3 linked regions of the Lepisosteus oculatus genome follow. The protein of the gene in region 1 purifies or fractionates together with the protein of each later gene. This does not show direct contact. Links are inferred from orthologs where the notes say so. Each region holds a gene or a part of one and is shown in the gene's direction. Other genes may lie near its edges. The genes, in order: tnfaip3, tnip2 and mtor.

Evidence for each region.
Region 2: the proteins of tnfaip3 (region 1) and tnip2 purify together in Homo sapiens (affinity purification with western blotting; 5 studies listed by BioGRID and IntAct, with this or other methods). This does not show direct contact. The link is inferred for Lepisosteus oculatus from reciprocal best matches to the Homo sapiens genes TNFAIP3 and TNIP2.
Region 3: the proteins of tnfaip3 (region 1) and mtor purify together in Homo sapiens (affinity purification with western blotting, with the first as the bait; 3 studies listed by BioGRID). This does not show direct contact. The link is inferred for Lepisosteus oculatus from reciprocal best matches to the Homo sapiens genes TNFAIP3 and MTOR.

What each region holds. Positions count from the first base shown.
Region 1 is NC_090712.1:1,532,759-1,540,408, reverse strand, and holds the start of tnfaip3 (tumor necrosis factor alpha-induced protein 3), read left to right. Parts: upstream 1-4,624; 5' UTR 4,625-4,706; intron 4,707-5,248; 5' UTR 5,249-6,461; exon of another isoform or gene 6,462-7,237; intron 7,238-7,650. UniProt on the Homo sapiens protein: Ubiquitin-editing enzyme that contains both ubiquitin ligase and deubiquitinase activities.
Region 2 is NC_090696.1:72,662,103-72,669,258, forward strand, and holds the start of tnip2 (TNFAIP3-interacting protein 2), read left to right. Parts: upstream 1-4,132; 5' UTR 4,133-4,563; coding exon 4,564-4,950; intron 4,951-6,581; coding exon 6,582-6,884; intron 6,885-7,108; coding exon 7,109-7,156. UniProt on the Homo sapiens protein: Inhibits NF-kappa-B activation by blocking the interaction of RIPK1 with its downstream effector NEMO/IKBKG.
Region 3 is NC_090720.1:2,864,079-2,871,266, reverse strand, and holds the start of mtor (serine/threonine-protein kinase mTOR), read left to right. Parts: upstream 1-4,142; 5' UTR 4,143-4,200; coding exon 4,201-4,236; intron 4,237-6,177; coding exon 6,178-6,339; intron 6,340-6,648; coding exon 6,649-6,757; intron 6,758-6,918; coding exon 6,919-7,151; intron 7,152-7,188. Other genes in the region: ubiad1 (ubiA prenyltransferase domain-containing protein 1), read right to left, coding at 220-707, 1,006-1,561. UniProt on the Homo sapiens protein: Serine/threonine protein kinase which is a central regulator of cellular metabolism, growth and survival in response to hormones, growth factors, nutrients, energy and stress signals.

The sequences.
Region 1 (7,650 bases):
TGCTATATTTGTAACACGTTCACAAGGTACAGTCACCTTGTTTTACAGTTCTAGAGGACACTGAATACATCTAAGCCTTGGATGGTACAGAGCAACAGATCACCAACAGATGCACCAGTGTGCAGATGTTTCTTAGAAAACACTGGAAAGCGTCTCTGGAGTGTTTAGGTGCAGAAAGTAAAACTCACTTTGCATCCCACTGGTTCCTACATGGGAAGTGCATTTCTCTATGTGACCAGAAAATGCTATGATTTCTGAAACAGACATCAAAAGCTGCAGTTTTCTGGGAGAAGCCACGTTTATAATAATAATAATAATAATAATAATTGCTTACACTTATATAGCGCTTTTCTGGACACTCCACTCAAAGCGCTTTACAGGTAATGGGGACTCTCCTCCATCACCACCAATGTGCAGCCCCACCTGGATGATGCGACGGCAGCCATAGTGCGCCAGTACTCTCACCACACATCAGCTCTCAGTGGGGAGGAGAGCAGAGTAATGAAGCCAGTTCAGAGATGGGAATTATTAGGAGGCCATGATTGGTAAGGGATAATGGGAACTTTGGCCAGGACACCAGGGTTACACCCCTACTCTTTTCGAGAAACACCCCAGGATTTTTAATGACCACAGAGAGTCAGGACCTCGGTTTTATGTCTCATCCGAAGGACGGTGCCTGTTTACAGTATAGTGTCCCCGTCACTATACTGGGGCATGAGGACCCACATGGACCGCAGGGTGAGCACCCCCTGCTGGCCCCACTAACACCTCTTCCAGCACCAACCTTAGTTTTCCCCAGGAGGTCTCCCATCCAGGTACTAACCAGGCTCACACCAGCTGAGCTTCAGTGGGGTGCCAGCTGGGAGTTGCAGGGTGATATGGCTGCTGGTTTGTCCTGGATCTCTCATGGATAGTGTTCAGCTTGAATTATTTAGAGAATGAATTAGCGGGAAGGGAAATCCCTGACATTCAAATACGGTGCAAGAAAGGGAGCAATCAGCACTGCAGAGAGCCCCCAAGGAAATGGTTTCTCTATTCAGAAGCAGTAAAAGCAGGACGGTGATGCAATGATAAGGGGAACAGAAGAAACCACAGAGAAAGAGGAAATAGAGTTGATAGTACCTTCTAATAGCTGCGTCTAAGTGTGATTGCATACTACATCTCACAATGGCTTAAGATAGCATCACCACATCCCTTTAGATATGCCTTAGATAACAGCATAGGTGCATAAACGAGTTCAGTGTCTCACCTTGAGAAACCCAGGAATAACGTACGTTTTTATTCACATAATTTACTTTTCCTCCCTGTCATTAATGTTTTCTGTCTTCTTTCACTTCCTTTAAAAACTCAAACTCCACTCTACCTGTGAATCAGAATGCCGGGGACAGTTGTGTCAAAGTCCCTGCCATTCAGTGTACGAGGCTGAATTGCAGGCAGGCAGGCAGCTGCAGGAAATCCCCAGAACAGCGCTTTGCAATGCCTGAGGTGCTGAGGCTTCTCTGGAGTAGGTGCTGTGCTTTTTGTGCCATTGGGTTCTGGTTTGTTTGAAGAAATGAAGAAAGTCAGTTTGTGGGCCCTACTTCTGCTGCTCTTTCAACAGTAAAATACTCTTACAGCACCCATTCTGTTGAAAGGCACACTAATGTCACTGACAAGTACACTGACCTCTACTGACTGAAGAAATCTTCAGCACATGGGTATCGTGCACTCATACTGCATATTTACTGCATACCCTAACACCTGAAGAAGGCACCACAGCCGAAACGTTGTGTTTTCTTTCTTCTTTTTTTCCAGCATGGAATAAACCTATTACTTGTTCCTTTGCAGCCTACGCATGCTGACGCAGCTCCCCACCTGAACTACTACTGCATATAGTGGCTATTGTATTGGTGGGTAAGTGACTACTATAGGCAAATACTACAGGAGCAACAACTGACATGCAAAAAGATGACATTCAAGACTGGTCAGACACCTGGCACAAGACATTTAACACAGAGAAGTATAGGGTATTAAAAGCAGGAAGCAGAAACATAAACTACAAACATAAAGTGAGAAATACTGAGCTGAAGGGGCTTCTTATGACAAAGACTGAGGTATTTATGTTGACACATAATTTGCATCTTCTCTTGACAATGTGGGGAAGCTGTAGAAACAGCAAGCAAAACACTAGGATACGTTCAAGTGTTAAAAGTGGAGAATTTAAATCAAAGACTGTTTGGTTGAGTCTGGAGCTGCAATCCAGTCTGTAATCAGTCCATTGAAGAGCAACACCAGATACATTCAAGGGCATTCAAGGAAGCTGAACATTTTTGGCATTGAAAGAAGACTGCAGATTCCAGACCTCATCTGCAAGGTTGAGAGATGTGTGCAGACAAGGCCATATGTGGAGTTACAAGATCTTATGACAAGCATTGTGAATTTTATATCTTAGACATATTTGTTTTTTGTAGACACAAAAATCTTTACAACCCTTTTAAATGTCAATTTTATTCATTAATCATTCATGAACCATGATTATGTTGTAGCCCCTGAGGTGGATATTCAGTCAATGTTTATCTATAAAATATGCAAGATAAAGATGTCAAACAAGACAAATGTTTTTCAATTTGATGGAATTTTTCCTATCTGATGAAAATGCCTATGCATATTATAAGCAAAAACAAAAATACATTTTATAAGGGAGATACAGGGACAGCACACAATTGTAATTTAACATTATTTCCTTTTTGTTGACTTTCATGACAAAGACTGAACTATTCGCTTAGTGTTGCTCAGAGGAATAAATAGTTCAAAGCCCAGAATCTTCATTTCCTGTCACCACCTTGCTTTGTCTAACTTTAAAATGAAAATGGAACAATACTGATGCGATAGCAACGTGACAAGGGAAGTTTCAGTCAGCCTGTACCTTTGAAGTCCCTGCCCTAACTTCTCACCACAATTCCTTCCACCTTTCACAATGTTTTGTAAGCAGGTATGCAACACTTTCCACTCACAAAGCCAGTCAAATAGATGCACTACAGATGTACTGTTTGCAGCCAGATATTAATTTATTTCCAGAATCCAGGGAAACTAACACCTCCTGTGTGGTAGCTGAGGTCTGGAGTCACTGTAATTGGCTGATGTAAGTGTGGATCTGGCTTTGATTATAAGATAGGTTACAAAGGAGAAGAGCCCATTTAGATTGCTTGGACACTTTGCAGAAGTGGGAGTATACAAAACTTTCTTGATGTTACACAGCCATTGGTCTAGGGGAGAAGAACATTATTCAGTACATTAGTCATCATTCAGAAATCCGTCTGTTTTTTTTTATCCCGCGTTTCCGATGACTTCCTGACCCTGTCCCAGCAGCGCAGCAGGAGTCGGCTCAGGGCAACGGCATGCCTCCCTGCGCACACTGCGTGTGGGGGTGTGTCCAAGCATCCAGGCCCACCCAGGGTGTTGGGAGAGCCCACGCCCCCCACACCCAGTGAATCATTGCTGAACTCCCGTTGGACAGCTGTGAGCAACCCTTGATTACGAAGTTGTTGTGGGAAATTGTTCATCAAAGGAGCAGGATGTTCATCAAAGGAGCAGGACGCAGTCCAGTGCAGATTCAGTTTTTTAGAGCTCAATAATGTCGAAGAAAACTCAGTCTTCACTCAGGTTAGGAGATTGTCAAACACAGATCTTTAATACAATCAGCTGAAGGGGAGCATATCACAGAGAAAGGGTTCCCCCTAGCACTCAAGACATGCTCACTTTACTGAAGTTATACTTTCCTTTTTATACATTAAAAGTAGGCAAGACTTTAACATATCAAAGGAACATACAGGGAAAGGGGCAGTGTCAGAAGTCAAACAACCAGGACAGGAAGATGGCATTTGGCATCCTGCAGTCTGTTTCACTTCTCTCTGGTTGAATGGGTGTGAGGAATCACAGGCTTTAGTTTGCACCTAAGACAGTGGTCTTAGGTGCGAACAGAAAACCTTTCCCACGCATAGTCACTGTCTTGACTTTCTGACTCGGTCTTCCACAATAAGGACAGCAACACAATCGTTGGGTCTGCAGTGCAAAACAGACCTGTCCTTTAATAAATAGTTTATGTTGAACTACTTTGTCCTGTCCTTTGATATCCAGCAGGCATTGATCTGCTTTATCCTGTTTATGGTACGTTTATGGCTGTTGGTCCTGCATTTTGTTATGCTTTGTTATGCAGCGCAAGTTGCTCAAGCAAGCCAGCTTTATTGTATCTTAGCATAACCTTTGGTGAAGGCTAAATTAACAGATCCCAGCAATACTTTCCATGGTGTGGTTAAGTAGTAATACTGCAATGGTGGATACATGTACGTGCAATATTAACATGTCCCACTTTACATTGATTTGTGATGTTGAGCCTGAGGCAGCACAGCTCCTGTTCCTCTGCAGGGACACCAATAAACACCCGAAGGGACTGAGTTCAGGCTTCATTGTTGCCTGGCTACGGTCTTGGGATGAAACACGTTGTAAGAGCACCGCCCCAGCAGGGACCACATTCCGCAGACCCCTCTGGGGAAGGGGCTGCTCGCACAGTCACCTGACCAGCCGCAGGAAGGCAGGTGACTACAAAACAGGAACAGGAAGCTCTCGGAGGCTGTCTGTGGGCGTGGCTGTCTGCTGCTCCAGGACAGCCCCTGCGCGTACTGTACGTCTCGCCAGCGGAAGGACCGAGCAGGGAGCAGAGCGACTTTGTGAGTTCAGGGAAACGAAACCGAATTTTGTGGATTTTTGGAAATTTTGTGTAGAGTGTTGGAGGGACCGTGTTTGAGAATTTTCTGTGTTAGTGGCCGGTCAGCAGTGTAGCTGCTCGGCTTATATTAGACGGGGGCTTCATGAAGAATTTTAAGCAGAAGCTCGATGAAGAGCTGAGACTGTTTTGCTTTTGTTTTTAGGTGATGGTGTTAGGCGTTTCCCCGCCTCGTAAAATAAATTGCAACTCGGGCCTTTAAACGTTACAGCTGGGTGTTTTTGTGTGTTTTGTTGGCCTGAACCTGCCTGTGTTGAAAGATCGCGTTTTAAACAGTCACACCCCTGGTTATGTCACATTGCAACAGAAAGAAACTGCCACACAGCTCCTACAGAGACACTTTACCTCGGCGAACAGGTTGCTGATTTTTTCTCTCTCGGAATAGAATTTGTTTTAAAATTAAAATGATCATTTCATGGAAAAAAAAAAGTTGTTTTGTTGTTTTGTTGTGTAAGCTTCTGCCTGACTGAAATCTTCTTTTTATAGAAACTTTCCACAAATCAAGAACAAAGCAGAATTCTCCCCCTGGCAGTCCCTTAAATCATGGCATTATTTCTGCCAGAAAAACACAACCCCAAACCCACAGGAGAAAGGGAAAGTACTTTTAAAACTGAGGAAAGAATGCCGTTCTTTACACTAAGGGTGGTGAGGGTCTGGAACAAGATGTCTATTAGCTCTTTTGTTGAATCTTGATGTCCTGGCTTCTGTAAAAAAATGGTGGATTGAGATTCTCAGATCATTAAATCAATTAGATCAATTCAGATCAATTAGATACTAAAGAACTAGACATGCCTTATGGCCTATTCTCATTGTTTTCTTATGTTCAAGTCTAGCTATTAGAATGCAAACCCAAAAGGGAGATAAGGATTCTCTCTGTGTTACACAATATCCTGTGTGAGGTGTGAAAGTGGCTGGAGATGAGTTCATCAACACTCACAGCAGGCACAAGGGCCTCTGTCCACAAGGTGCTTTTCCTCTGATCATCACTCCTCGGAGATCAAGTGACCATCTGCTAGGAGGAGCTCAGTGAGCCCTCCAGGCATTGAAGAAGACTGAAGCTGAACCCGAAAGAGAGAACAGGGGGCCTGGCTGTTTTCAAAAACTGGAGGAAGTTCACTGGCACTTTATTGACTTCAAGCTTCTCCTTCAGATGGGGGCTGTGGAGTAACACTCATCCCCCGCAGAGTCTGAAAGACCCTGACACATTTCATCTTCAGTCTGGGACGTCCCTTTCTGTACAGATCATAAAATAATTTCCCTCAGCCTAACTCCTGAAAGCACCACACTGCAGAAGCGCATGCTCGCCACTCTGGTGCAGCAAGACAGAAATACAACTCCAGATCTCCCCAAAAACGCAGTGTGTTTTTTTTCTGGTATTTACGCCAGAGTGTGGAGGCCTACTGGATTTTTTTTTTTAAAGCTCGGGTATTTACAAGGATGTCTGAATCCGCCTGGCAGAATCCTGGTGACTAGCCAGCCAGTAGGAGTCGCGTCTGGGAGGAGACAGATTGAGTGATGTCCTGAGGGCTTGTGGGTTCTGCCTTCTGATGCCCTCCCCCGCTTCTAAAGGAGCAGAACAAGTTGCTGATACTGATCTAATAGTACAGTATGCGTGTGTGATCAGCTGTCTTTTTCGTTACCTTTCACTGCTGCCAAATTCGTACACGCTCACCCGAAGTAAAAGTGAAATATACAGTTTGTACGTATTACCCTTCTGAATATACAAATGTTGCTTGACTTCTGTTTTAAGGAAGACCGTTGGATGGATAGGAACACTTTTGCCGGGAAAATGTCATTTTGTTTTTGTGCTTTACAAAGCAAGCGGTCTTTTAATGCCTAGAATATCAGGGTGCTAAAATATTTGACTTTTTTATAAAACATCAAACTTTCAAAGGGAAAAGACACCATTAGTGGGGTTTTTTCCTTTACAGATACATTACGCATGCAGTTTATACTATTAAGAATAATGTGTTTTTCTTTACCGCTGGGCGATACTTTAGGTCATAACATTCCCTTAAAAATGAGCAGGGACTTCAAGATCTGAGATCATGCGTTGGTCTATGAATGGTCTGATCGTGTCCTTATGTAAGGTTTCTTTATGACAACAGACCAGCTTTCCAGAGTGTCTGTCTCTTTCTCCCCCTAGCGTTCGATGAGCGTATTTTAGTACCTCTAAAATTGTGCAAGCTTAAGTGGAAAGTCCCTCATACTGGAAATCCCCACCCGGGCTTTTCCATGTGAAAAAAAAAAGTCTCTAACTTATCTAGAGGTCGTTTTTTTTTCTTGTTTAGTTGACAAGTCTCTAGCCTGAGTGAGTGGAGCCTGAACCAAGAAGCAATCATACTACCCAAGGGATATGAAGGTTTAATGGCGTTTGGGACTGTGGGTTATACAGTCTAGAGCTTGGGGTTCAGGGTTACCTTTTTGTACAGTACAGCATCGAGGAGTTTTGTCTGTCCTAGATACATTGTAAAGGTAAGTTTTGGTAGCTTTTAAAATATTCTGTTCCAGTTCATTCGTTCGTTGCCGTTGAAACTGCGCTCTTGGTCGCGGTTACTTGTGTTAATGGTGTTAAGTGTTGTCAGTCCGGCACAGTTCTTATCCATATATGTGAATGTTTGTCTGATTTTTTTAAACGCACCGGAGCGATAACGCCAGTTCTGTTCACAAACTTCAGTCTGCAGTTAAACCCCAGACACGAGTGCGTTTTATGAAAGACGTGGTCTGTGAACCGGGCTGTAAGGGAAGATTGCTACAATTGCATTTTTATATATAACCCTTATAGGATCATGTAGATCAGTGCGTTTCCACGCGTGCACATCGTGCGGCACACTTTCTGGTGCCTGCTGTCACTAGTTCAGAACCGATTGCTATAACCATAAAGACTT
Region 2 (7,156 bases), on another chromosome or scaffold:
GAGAACACAAGTTTCGGCCGTGGAGCCTTCTTCAGGTGTGAGAGAGACAGGGCAGTAGGCAAAGGTAAAGTAGCGGGAGAACACACCTCTTGATTGGCCTCTCTTTCTGTCCCTGAAGAAGGCTCCACGGCCGAAACGTTGTGTTCTCTTTCTTCTTTTTTTCAGCATGGAATAAACCTATTACTTGTTCCTTTGCAGCCTACGCATGCTGACGCAGCTACCCACCTAAATATTAGAATGTCCATTACCCCTGACCAAAGAGGACATCCAGAGGGCCTGATTCACATAGTCAGAATCCTTAAAGGCATTAACAGGATAAAGAAGAGAACACAAATGCAAACTAACTCAGGAAACCTTCTTGAAGAAAAGGCCAGGTTGCATTTTAAGTTTAATTAACTACAAGCCGAAAAATGAGGTACATGGGCTAAATGATCTTCTCCAGACTTTTGCAACATTCCTTATGTCTATGCATAATGTCACGTTTGCAATGCAATCTTATTTAAAGTAAAATAAAATCAGACTTAATGTGCCAAATCGTGTTTAGGATAGATTGATGTATTTTCTTCTTGATTTAAGTACTCTTCATAATACACATGCTTGTTTTGCATATTGTACTCAAAATGACAAATACTTTCATCCTGACTGTGCGTCTTTTCAATTACTGGGCACTAGGTTTCACATGAGCCTCTTGCAGGTTCCTCTAATAATGGAACTTCTCCCCTGTTTTTCCTTGTAATTATTTTAACGGAAGAATCATTACATTTATCAGTAATTTAGTCATATTAGACTAAGGAATTTGGCAGAGTTACAAAGTTTATTAATACTATTACTGTGCCGAGAAAAGGCTTGTGAACGCAAACTATTATAATTAGCATCTCAATTTCTTACCATGATGATAAATTCTATCACCATAATAACTTTTTTAAATTACAACTGGTATAGTAGTTTATGAAGTAAAACGTACTGTAGATGAATAACTGAGAATCAGTGTACATGTATGTGAAATAGTGAAAAGTTTAAGTACTACAATTAAGGGAATAATTATAATGATGTGGTTAATAAATGGATGACAAGTCTTTAAGTATAAGGTTGGACCACCTTATCCTACAGTTTACAATGGATGGAAATATTGTGAGTTTGGTCTTCTCAATACAGGATAGTGGAAATACACACAATCTAAAGGAATTTCAGAGGACCTCAGAAAATTAGTAGTTAATGCTTATCATTTTGGAGACAGTTACAAAACTACTTCTAAACATTTGGGACTCTATCCATCTACTGTTAGACAGATACTGTAGTCTACAAATGAAAAAATGTAACAATGACCCTATCCAGCTCCAGTCATCCTGCAAATTGCTCCCTGAGCCACTCAGAAAACCATCCAAGAAGCCCATGGTGACATCTAAGGCTTTCCAGGCCTCACTGAAGCTTATATCATTGTTCAGGCCTCAACTATCAAGAAAAGACTGAACTGGAATGGTTTTCTTGGGACAACAGACAGGAAGAGGGCATTGATCCTTACTTGCTGCCCATCTCAAGTTGGCCAAAGAGCACCCGGACCATGCACAAGACTACTGCAAGAGCTTAAGCCCTTTAGCCCCAATGAATAGTGCTGGCCTGCGTTGTACGCACTGCTTGCCAGGATAGGCTCCCCCACAGCTCTGTACTGGATAAGATGGTTAGAAAATGGGTGGATGGATGAAAAATGTTATGAATAGTAAAAACCAAACACTGTCTGACCCACAAAGCTTGCCATCATAGATGGAACTGGGAATCTGCTGTTGTATCGGCACATTCTGCAGGAGAGTATCACACCGTCTATTTGTCAGCTGAAGCTGAGCCAAAAGTGGGTCATGCAGTAAGACTATGATCCTAAAGGAACAAGTAATACGCTTATTCCATGCTGAAAAAAAGAAGAGAGAAACAACGTTTCGGCCGTGGAGCCTTCTTCAGCTGTGAGCTCTTCTTCAGGTGTGGCCACCTTCTTCAGGTGTGAGCTCACACCTGAAGAAGGCTCCATGGCTGAAACGTTCTGTTTTCTCTCTTCTTTTTTTCAGCATGGAATAAACCTATTACTTGTTCCTTTGCAGCCTACGCATGCTGACGCAGCTGCCCACCTGAACTATGATCCTAAATACACAAGCTGATCTGCAACAAGATGACTGAAGAGGTACGTAATTTCACATTTTGGATTGGCCAAGTCAAAGTCTGAATCTAAATCCCGAGGCAATGTTATGGCAGGGGCTTGAAGCAAACTGTTTAAGCAAAGAAACCCTCAAATGTTACTGACTTTTGAAGCAGCTGTATATGGAAGAATGCACAATTCCTCAAGCAAGAGACTGATAAAAAGTTACAGGAAATATGTAATTGAAGTCACTGCCGCTGTATGATATATACTGTATAATATATATGAGAATATGGATCAGCCTACAGGTTTGACAATTTTTTGGCACTGTATACGTGTTACTGTAATACTTCAGTACAGTATTGATATAATTCACAGCTGGTTCTTTCAGGAAATGTCTAGTTTGCTATTTTAACAGTAACCTATCTCTTTTCCCTAACCTCCTTCAAACATCCAGTCAGTTTTCTATTTGCCTAAAGTTGAAATGAGGTATCAAACATCCCTTCTGGTCGGTGTTATTATTGTAGATCATACTACAAGTCAACATCTATGTGACATACCCCACAGAATTAAGATGAGGGTACATTTTTCTTTGCAGTTGCGTATGTTCTGTACTGGGAAGCATCATTTTCTCTACCTGTGATCCAATGTTCTGTGTGAATTGTGAATTATAGATAATCATCTCAACATTAATCTATTTATTACTAGTATTTAAAATAATTTAAGCAGGTGAACTTAAGATTTTTTTGTACCATATATTACTTTGCAATACAAAGTTTGCGGAATTCATCATTGAAATAGAATGTTATACACTTCCTAAGAATACATATTTGATATTTACTGTATTTTAGTAAAAACTGCTGGATTGACGCAAAACATTTGATTTCATTCAGCAACTCAGTGATCCACATTCCCAGTCTTGAAGAGTAACAACTCTGTAGATTTTAAAAGGGTATTAGAATATTGATTTGACTTAAGACCTGGAAACAGCGGCAATATAAGAGAATTTTGGTTTTAATTGACTCAAGAGTTATCTGTCCAATCAATCAATTTGAATTAGAATCTCAGATTTAATGAATTCCAGAAGGCCCTTTGGCTCTCCAAATCCAGGTGTAAAAATCATCAGTACAGTTGAAATATTACATAAACAGTGAACACTGCGCAGTGACAAATATTTATAAAAAGAAGACGGATACAAGTGCCCCTTGTATACTGAACAATCGTGAATATTCGCAAAATACTGATAATTGTTGGCTGTTTAAAAGCCAGGAGCACTTAGCGCGCAAAACCATATGACCAAGCCAATATTTCCCACTGCAGGTACAGCAGAGAAAAACAAGTCAGTGGTTGTGAGGATTATTGTTTGTAAGGACAGACTTACATTTGTCAATAAAATTAATTTCCAGTCACACAAGCCCATCAGAAGATTGAAGGGGATTCCTTAGAGAGCTACAGTATAGTAGAAGGAAGCTTCGCATCTGCAAAGATGGTAAAAGAGTCCAGGTCTCTGTAATTTTTAAACCATTTTCCATTTAAACATTCTTGAGCCAAATGCATCAGAAAGTACAAAAAAACACAACTGCAACAGCAGCCATCTTTAAGGATAATGTATATGAATAGCCCACTGGCTGCAAAGAGGCTTAAGGAAAGAATAAAAACAAAATAAAAACATTACACGATGGACAATTCTACGAATATTGAGTGTTTGTCGGTACTGTTTAATTGGTAACGCGACATGTAAGAAACATTTAATCACAAGGGGGGGAAAACACTTGTAAAAAAAAACTTCTTAAAAGTCTGCTGTGTTTTTCATTTTTGTTTTAAAAAAAAGTGTTCGTTATGTAAGAAACCATGAAGTGAGAAACTTAGAAATTGTCCCGAGTATATCAACCGTGTGTAGCAAAGTGAAAAAAAAAATCCAGAATGATCAAAGTCTATTAAAAAAGAGGTGTTACGAATTCACCAGACAAGTTTACCGTCTATAACCGGAAACATCTCACGCATGTGCAGAAGTAGTCTTACTCTGTGACATGGCTAGATACATTCTACTGGAAAAAAAGAGAGAGAAACGGTTTCATTAAGAAAAGGAGTCAGGAGCGCTTGATCTTTTTCATTAATACATTTACCAGAAGTTACCAGAAGAGCTTAATCAGAGCGGTGCGGAAAAGAAGCAGTCATTGAAGGATCTCAGAGTTGCTAAGAAAGAAAAGTACAAGAAAAGTCCGCCGATGCGACTGGGGGAAGTCCCGAAGGAAATCCCCAGTAGGTACTGGAATATTATTTCGAAATTGTATGTACCGATCTATTATACGGCTGACCCTTGTCTCTGGGAGATGTTCGTAGAGCCCTCAGTCGAATAAAAAGTTAGTGCGCGTCTCAAGTGAAGAACACAGCGAATTTTAACCTGGAATGCTGGAGGATTAGCGGAGGGACATCCGATGTCGGCTCTTTCAGGTTGCGCAGAACGCCCGATCGCTGGATACAACCAAGCTGATTCTCTGATGGAAAGCATAAAGCGAGAAAACGCGGCGCTCAAAACAAAACTACAGAGCTACAATACTTTAAACACGTTCTACCACGAAACGAATCAAGAAATCGCCAAGTTAAGCCACCAGATGTGCCTGAAGGACAATATCATTGCTGACTTGAAGACAAGATTGGCCGCATACGAAAACACGACGGTTCATATGGGTGGAGAGGAACCTCTGGTTTTTGGACCTTCTAAATCCTTGTTCGAGAACCTGTGTCAAGAAATCGGTAAACTTAAGCATCAGCAGAGAGAGACCGAAAGAAGCGCTGATCGGCAATTGGGAAACATGAAACTAGTAAGTGATTTCTTGGTGTATAATGTGTACATCTGCTGCTTAAGATGTTATAATACTGCAATAAAATGCATTTTATTTGTAGCGGTTCCCCTGCTATTAGTAATAATTCCTTTTTTCTTATCTGAAAAATAAATATCTATATATATTAAACTAGTGGGTAATTTAATTATGACTGTAAGCCGCTGTAAATTGAAAAGGATTGTAATTTTCTTGTGACGCAAATAGAAAGGGGGATTTCTGCAGCGTCTGATGTAGGATGTTAGGAAGTTTCATTATAGGCCAAATGGTTACGGCTATATTTCCAATTCCGCCTCGCTGAACAAAGATCATTTGGGTTATATTACAGTATCGGTATAGTTAATAAAATTAGGTATTTTTTTATATTTATGTCCAATATTTAATGCACTTCTCAACTGTAATTAGAGTAATTATTTAAAAAGTACACATTTTGAACTTGGGTTGGACTCTGCTGACCTAGTTTTATTATAATCGAAAAATAAACGGCTGAGTGAACTACACATTCTATAAACGTCTTCCAGCTTTTAGCGATGAACGCGAGTGTGTGTTATATTGCTTACAACTCTAATTTAATTCAACTCTATTGCTCGTCTTTTTAGTGCCTTAGACAAATATCTCAATATCGTAAAGGTTCAGACATTCAGCGAAATAATTCATTTGCAATACTGAAACCGGAAGAGTAAAAACTTAAAACAAGCAACCTCCACTTTAGCTGGAAAAACTCAGTTTTTCCAAACCCCAAGAGCATTTCTCAGGGAAGAGCTGTATCATTTCATGGAAGGCACCGATTGGCAATGCTGGTGCTTTCACTAGAAACAAATGTGACTTGTTTATATGGTTTTTAAAGTTATCATTTACATTCATAAGCGTCTGTAAACAGGGTAAATGCAAACAGAAAATCAAGATTGTTTTGTTGTTGTTTTCAAAAGTATCTTATCTGGTTTGGTTGTTTTGTTTTTACTTGTTAATTCGTTTGGTGATTTCTTCTGTTTCTCTGCCATCCCTTTATGCCAGAAAGTGCATGGAACCTATTTTTGAAAAAAGGACTGTTTTGAGTTTAGTGTCCTGCGTTTTTTTTTAATGCTATTAGCATGTTGTGTTTCAGGGAATGTTCATGTCTGTGATTCTGTATTCTTACAGTTTCATGATTAGATGAAGAAATATGTTGATGTAGATACAGCATATAGACTTAGTTGAACATATGCCATTACATGTTTACTTCATTTGACCACACTAGGTAGATCAATTGACAAAAAAAAATATGTTCTCAAGGTGTTTGAACAAGCTAGCTTCTGTGCATATAGTTCCTGCAAGATAAGGGCATGACACTGAGAAATAAAAGAAAGCCTCCTTTATTTCAAATAATTTAGTAAGCAATGAATTTAAGATCATATACAGTACAGTGCAGAACTGAAGGTCAGCATCTCATCATTACTTTTCCCCAGTCTGTGTGTGGTCTGCATTGGACAGGAAAACATTTAAATTATGTGCTTTAAATAGATATAAAAACACACACAGCATAGGTATTCAAGATAAAACCACTCTTTATTTAAGATTAGCAACAAGCGTTTTATTTCTTGTAACTGTAAATCCCCACTCTCCGTGAATTTCAGGAGATTCAGGAACTGCAGCAGCAGCTGAGTGCCAAAGAGCAGGAAATCCAGAGAATCACCAGCAGGCCCCAGCACGAGAAGGACCTGGAGATCATGCAGCTGCAGCAGACCGTGGCGGAGAAGGACAGAGTCCAGGCCACAAGGGCGGTCCTGTGCTACTCTCTCGCCGAGGAGGCTGAAAATCTCAGGGCCCAGCTGGGCGCCACTGTAGGCGTGTGTCAGCAGCTACTGCAGAGACTGGAGAGGAAGCAGCAGAGGGAGGACTCCACCAGCAGTGCCACTCAATCAGAGCAGCCCAGAGAGGTACCTCAACCTGAGAGAAAGAGACCGTACAGCCCCTTATCATACACTGCTCTCAGCCTGCTGTAATACCACTGATGTACTCCGCGTGACTTTAGAGGAAATGTTAACATTATCCCAGCCAGAAAAAAATGCCAATAAGGCAAACCAATTCCAGTCTTTGCAAAGCTTATATAGTTCTTGACTGTGATTGCTAATCCTTGGTTTCCTGTTTTGTATCTCTCCAGGGTGCGGATTCGTCAAATTCTGCTCAGCTTCAAGCCTTGATTTGCCGG
Region 3 (7,188 bases), on another chromosome or scaffold:
ACCACGGAGTAAAAAACATTTCAGCTTGGAGAGCAAACAAGCCTGAATGAGATAAAAGGGCAAAGAACAAGACACTTGTCCTATCTATAATAATTGCACGTCCTTCTCTGCACTCATTTGAATTAATGAAATGAAAGCCCTTGATCTTAATAACTCTATAACAAAATACCAACATAAAAAAAAACACGTTTATCAAAATCAATGGAGCTGGGGTGGGGGTTACACTTTTGGCAGGCTCCCTGGAGGTGCCAATATAATACCAAAGACATAGAAGAGTCCCATTAAGAGATTGAGCTTTGCAGTCTTTTGGGGAATCTTGGAGTAGCACTGGCTCCTGAACTGCTTCTCCAGGGGGAAGGCCATGGGCAGGGTCAGCAGGGGCAGCGCCATGCTGATGGTGCAGCGCGTGGCGAGGATGGAGAACAGGATGTAGGGCATGAAGAGCAGCAGGTTGTAGAGCATGTAAGACAGCGTGGGCCCGAGGAGAATGGCCAGCGTCACGATGCCCGCCTGCTGGTCCGAGTCCATGTCCCGCGTGTTGTTGCTGTGCAGGATGGCTTCAGTGTTGAGGGCCAGCGGAATGGCGTAGAGCAGGGGCAGGACGGAGAGGTAGCCCACCTGCGTGGCGTGGGCGAACATGACGGCCAGCGGCCCGAAGGTGATCAGGATCACGACGTCGCCCAGGGCCACGTACTTCAGCCCGATACCTGCGGAGGAGAAGGAAGAGCTGAGACCTGGGTTAACGCTCAGGAGCAGCGGGGACACGTGGCACGGCGAGGCAGGCACAGCGTGCGCCGCACCTGTAGCCACGGATAAAATAACAGGGTCCAAACCATCCATAAAGGCAAATTTAAAACTACTTCCAAAAAAACAGCTCGAGATTTTTTAAGCAGCAACATCTTTTCAAGTCACTATTCCACATCACGAGGATAAAAGTGTTTTTTTTCCCCCAAAAGGGAACTCATAAATGCACTATTGCTACATGACAAATTGTGGGTAATTCACCTCCGGTGTAGAGGAAAGAGCTCGACAGGCCTCCAAAATATATAAGAGCCAGGTGTTCCAGCTTCAGAGTGGACAGAAAATACAGGCAAGTTGCACACAAACATCCCAGGGAGTATAGAACCGCTCCAAACATGACTACATCCTGGGGCTCCAGAATCTGGTCAACCAGTGTCCGGTCATCACTCTTTTTGTGGTCAATCCCTTTGGAGAAGTCATAGTAAGTGTTCACCAAGTTTCCAGCTCCATGAACCACCAGGACGGCCACAGCGCTCACCAGCAGGATCACGAAGTCAAGGGAGCCCTCGGACTTGTAGGCCAGGGCGCCGCCCAGAGCTACCGGAGTCAGAGAGGCACTGAAGCTCCACGGCCTCAGGGCCAGAACGTAAGCAGCGCATTTGTGCTTCATGTCACTTGTCCTGCTGCAGGGTTTTTCCTCCTGGTGGTCCTGGACAAAAACATGTTCCCCCGGATCCCCTCCTCCTCCTGCGCTCCGCCCGTTCGGTCCCGCCAGGACAAAAGTCTCTGACGCAAAGCCGGGTTTCTCCCCCTCCGTCATCCCTGCACCCCGAGGATGAACACCGCCGCCGGGAAATAATCACACGTAGGGATCACCTGAAACAAAGAGCCCAGGGACAGAGGAAGGACAAGCAAAGAAATCACATGAGCAAGCTCCAAACACACTGCCCTTTACTTCTTGCCTCTTCACTCCAATTCTGGGCAAATTTAGATTTTCACTACTTAGAAATTACTGGCAAGAGCAAGTAATACTTTAAAGAATCTTCCTAATGGAAACATTTTGTTGTGTACCACTAAAAATACAATTAGAAAACGAGTTTTAGAGAACAAGCATGCATTTTAATATGATTTAAAAATTCTTGAACAATTTAAACTACTTTAGCCCACTGTATCCACATGAATACAAATTTAATAGATCGGAACAGATTTGGGTTTTCGGGTTTCTGCCCTTGCCACTCCCACCCCAGTTCATTCCTCCACCGCAGGGGCACGAACCCGGGACTAAGGCATCGCTCAACAGGGGTCTTGCCAGCTGAGCTAAAGAAGACCTTCCTCAGCCCAGGTGGCCAAGATCATTGTTGTGCACAGAGGCGTATCCATTTCAATATGTATATATAGGGACAAGTAATAGGTTTATTTCACGCTGAAAAGAGAAGAAAGAAAACACAACGTTTCGGCTGTGGAGCCTTCTTCAGGTGTAAGAAAGACAGGGCAGGCAGCAAAGATAATAGAGCCTGGGAAAACACAAGCCAGGAGAGAGGAGGTGGCAGGAGCAGGGGAGGGGCAGAGTGGCAAACCAAGTGGTGCGAGGTCGAGAGAGGCGAGGAGAGGTGTAAAATGAAACCTACAAATGAACAGAAACTTAGAATAAAACAAGTCTTTCGTTGAAAGAAAGGGGGAAGGTGTGAACCAAGTTTCAGAATCATTTTAGTTTCTGATGACTTTCTGCTATAGAAGTTAAGAAACCTTACTTTGAGAAGTATTAATATATGTATAGGCAAGTCAGTAAAGAATGCCACCCAACATCCTTATTCTTAATAATATTTAAAAAAAGGCTGCTTCAGTACAGGAATCTTAACTTTGGGATGAGCAATGCAATCAAGTTCACTTTTACTATATCCCCTACCGAAGAAAATAAAATAGCAAACGAACAGAGAAAACTATTTGCAAAACAAAGGCGTATTTGTATTTAAGCTACTGTACAAGACATGGACACACAAGCGTATTTCAAAGACATACATGTTGACTGAATACGAAAAATCTTATCTTTTGTATGAGGTTGTGTGAAAGTGAAACAACTACTCCTGAGTGCGTTGGAGAGAGGGGGGAAAAAGTTGAGCTACTTAGTTTCAGGTTAACCTTCCAAAAGCTAAACAAATGAAACGGAGATTGTTATCTGTGCACAGATTTGTGCACAAGTGTTTGACTAAAATTAAAACTAGGCGTTACATGTATTAAAGTTCTCGCTCTGCATGCGGCGTACACCGGCACGACAAATAAAATATCCCGCAACGTACCTGTTGTTTCTGGGTTTAGTCTCTCTAACGCGCTGAAAGTAGCATTCTTCCTCTCCGTCTTCTATAACCGTTACACGGGGACTAATCTTATTTTCGCTACGTGTCAAGTACGAGGATATTTCGTGCAAGCCCTCCACCTGGGCAGCGCCATCTTGTTCCACCGCCCCTTGTGCAACCGAGAAATGTGTCCGACTACCCATCCTGTACCCTTAGTCTCGGTCACCTATTTTAGCAGAACAACGATGCGGTTTTATTCCTTTTGAAAACAATGCCGGGGAAATAAATTATCTAGAAAAGGACATATGTCCCCTAAAGATTGCTCAGCGCTTGTGATCACGCTTAAATCAATCTTAAATCCGACATGTATTTCGGTTTTACTATGTTTTGTTTTCCCAATGATCAAAAAGTTGCTATTGCAGTCGTTGGGCAATAAATGCAATTTAAACATTGGGATTTTCGGCTGCCGCTTCGCTTTTACATATTGTCTCCGATGGCATGAGCGCTGATGTCTTGATTTTTTATTTTTTTTTAAACAAGATTCTTGCTTATATTAAACAGTTGCCATCCAACCAAACTATCCCACACGACAAATGAAAAACCAGCATCCTCAATTTCGTAAATAAAGGCCAAACGTTTTCACATTGGTCCTTTTCTGAAGTTGTTGCAAGTCAATGTTTCGTTTCATTGGATAGCGGGTCCAGTCAATCACTTTCGCGTGTTTTGAATGGGTAGAGTGGTTGTCAATCATCAAATTCTCTTATTTTCATTGGTCAAAATAGAAATCTCTCCAAGGTCTTGGGTCGCCCTCCCAAATTAGGTTGTGATAATCTGAGACTGGTGAGTACTGTTCTTCCTGACTGAAATTATGCGTTTGCTTGGATCATTAAAATAATTTGGTGTTTTTTTGTTGAATAAACGCCAGTTAATTGTGCTTATTGCACTAAGCCTAATACTCAGAGCCTTGGTTTATTTGCATTTAATGATGCGATGTCAGTATTTCAAAGAAGGCTGCTTCAGTACAGGAATCATTTAAGAAAATGCACGACATGGTTTGCTAAGGGACACTGTATTCGTCCACTTTGTCAAAAACGTTAATATCGTTTTAATTCATGCAATACGTTGTGCACCGAAGCCTTTCGTAACACAGTTTTAAGGACGATCGATGCATTTTTTTAAAAGTGTCGCAATCTCGCTTCAGGTAATATAGCCACTTCGTCTATCTTAGAGTATGTTACTATATAAATTAATTATTACTTTACTTATTGGCATTTTAATTCAAATTAGATTCATCATTACGTTATGCCGCTTTTAATACCTTCTCCCCTTGCTGTATATATAGAAAGTGGACCAAACAGGGTCTTTTTTCAGCGATTTGGTTATGAGCCTGAGGTCCGGCTGTGCAGCAGCAATACAAATTCATTCGTCCATTTTTTAACCGGTTCGTCCAGTTCAGGGTCGCGGGGGAGCTGAATCCCATCTCGGCAAGCACAAGGCAGGGTACACCCTGGACGGGACGAAAATCTATGGCAGGGCACCCACTCACACTAGGGCCGAGTTTCCCAGAAAGCAATTAATCACCGCTATGTCTTTGGATTGTGGGAGGAAACCTGGAAGCATGGTTAAGACATTTATTGCATTTACACACTGCCTTTTGTCCTGGAGGGTCAAAAGCACCGTATATTTTTCCCTTTTATTAAGGTTTATTTCTTGAGTTTTTCTGTAATGGATGTGGTAAATACTGGACTAAAGTAAGGATGTACTTTATCTAGAGTGAACTGGATTGCCAATTGTAACTGCCAATTACTTGTTGTTCCAAGACTCCCTTTGAGGACCCCAGATACGTATCTCTCTTCTGCTCAGGTTCCTTAAATTCCTCACAAAAGGTGTTATAAATGGTCATCTGCTTTTCTTCTATTTTTAAGCAGGAACTGTATAAGAGTTTACATCTGTCAGAGTGGCAGGGAGTGAGCACCAGAGTTGTTGAGCAGGGCATCTGAGAGGGTAGTTCAAGACCTGTAGCTGTAAAAAGTGCTGCTATAGCAGAGTGTGAAGCCCTGTTTGGTACCGTACACAGGGAGCAATGAGAGGTGTTGAGTATTTCACGTAGGGCTTTAAAAGTTAACAGTGAAAGTTTGAACTGAAAGTGCTGGGTAGCGGGGGCTTCAGTGAAGACGTGTCAGAATTGGTCACCTTTGAGCATGTTAGAAGTCAAGCAGCTGAGTTTTGGACCAGATGAAGTTTGTTTAGGAGTCAGGTAGGGAGACTAACCCAGCTGAGATGCGATGAAGGCTTGAATCAGGGTTTCTGCAGCAGTGCAGTCAAGAAAAGCCAGCGTGTCTGAGGTGACAGTAAGAGACTTTTCAGGTGTCTTTTATGTGTGTATCAAAACAGAGCTCAGGATCAAACAAGACCCCCAGCTTTCTCATACTTGTAAGGCAGTGATTAAATGAGGTGTAGCTTCCCTGGGATTTATGCACATCACATCAGTTTTTTCTTGTTCTGAATAATAGTGTTGACTAAAAGAAGCCAACCACAGTCAGAACAGTTCTCAGGGACAATCTTTTGAGTCGTGAGGGAATCCACAATCGTTGTAAATATTTTGGGGAGAAACAAGGCTGCCATTGTTTTTGTAGCATTTCAGGTTTCCAAGCTTCCAGTACCTGCAGAAAAGCCAGTACCAGTTTCTTCATGCCTGTTGTGTCATTTTCAGTCTGTCTCGCTTAGACCTCTTATGTGGAATCAAAATAATCTTAAGTATTTCGTTTTCCACTGCATTGACACGGTCTCTTGAAGATCTTCAACTCTTAAAACCAGAAATAATCCAACCACAGTGCAAAGGGACTCATTTTGTTTTCCTAGGAGCAGTTCCAAACATTTTACACATTTGACAACATAGAGATAACTGAGAATTGGTCATAAATAGCTCTGGTGCATATTTTTCCCGTTATTTCCCTTGAAATCATAGCAGCATATAAACAGCATCTTATGGGAAAATATCAATATAGTGTAAATAAGACAGTTCTATACCTCTAGTTTTCAGTCGATGAAGAAAATTCCATTTTCTGCCCCTTTTCAAAAAACAAAACCCCAAAATCCCACCTGAACCGCTGCCAGGAGTGTTGTTTTTTTTTTAATACAGTTGAACGGGGAGGTGGGCGCCCCCTGCTGGACAGCGGCCATCATGTCGGGAACGGCCACCGTCCTGCAGCAGTTCGTCAGCGGCCTGAAGAGCCGCAGTGAGGAGACTCGGGCCAAAGCCGCCAAGGACCTCCAGCACTACGTCACCACCGAGCTGCGAGAGGTGAGGAGACCCGTGGGGTCCCCACTGCCCCTTTCCCCTGCCCGTCACTGGGGGAGGCTCAGGGTGCTGTGTAGCACAGCGTGGTGCGTGTCTCAGTCCTGTTCGAGGAATGAAAGTGCTTTGGACCCAAGAGGGTCGAATTTGATTTATTGCTGGTTTGATTTCAGTTTTCTTAGCGGTTTACAGAATTGATTGATCAAACGAGTCAGCGCTGCTATGGTGGAGGCGGATGTGGCGCACTGTTGAAGGTTCGCCCAGCGCAGGAATGTTAATCCCAGCCCCTTTTCTCGTTGCCGCTGTCTCTCCCAGCTCAGCCAAGAAGAGGCCACCACCTTCTATGACGAGCTGAACCATCATATCTTTGAGCTGGTGTCCAGCTCCGATGTCAATGAGAAGAAAGGAGGCATCCTTGCCATTGGTGAGTCAGTCCTGCGATTTCTGTGTCCGTTCCCCAGGTTTCCTCGAGGAATGAAGAAAACCCCGATACTGACACTACCGAACAGTGTTGTCTGAAACGCAGGTCATCTTATTCCGTAATGGCTGCCGGTGCTGAGCTTCTGTGCCGTTTTCCTCACACAGTGAGCCTGATTGGAGTCGAAGGAGGAAATGCCACGCGAATCAGTCGATTTGCGAACTACCTCCGCAACCTGCTGCCCTCCAGTGACCCGGTGGTCATGGAGATGGCCTCGAAGGCCATGGGCCACCTGTCGATGGCCGGGGACACCTTCACTGCGGAGTACGTGGAGTTCGAGGTCAAGAGGGCTCTGGAGTGGCTGGGGGCGGACAGGAACGAGGGGCGACGGCACGCCGCGGTAAGAGCTTTGCCGCCAGGCCTTTTTTGGCGTTTCA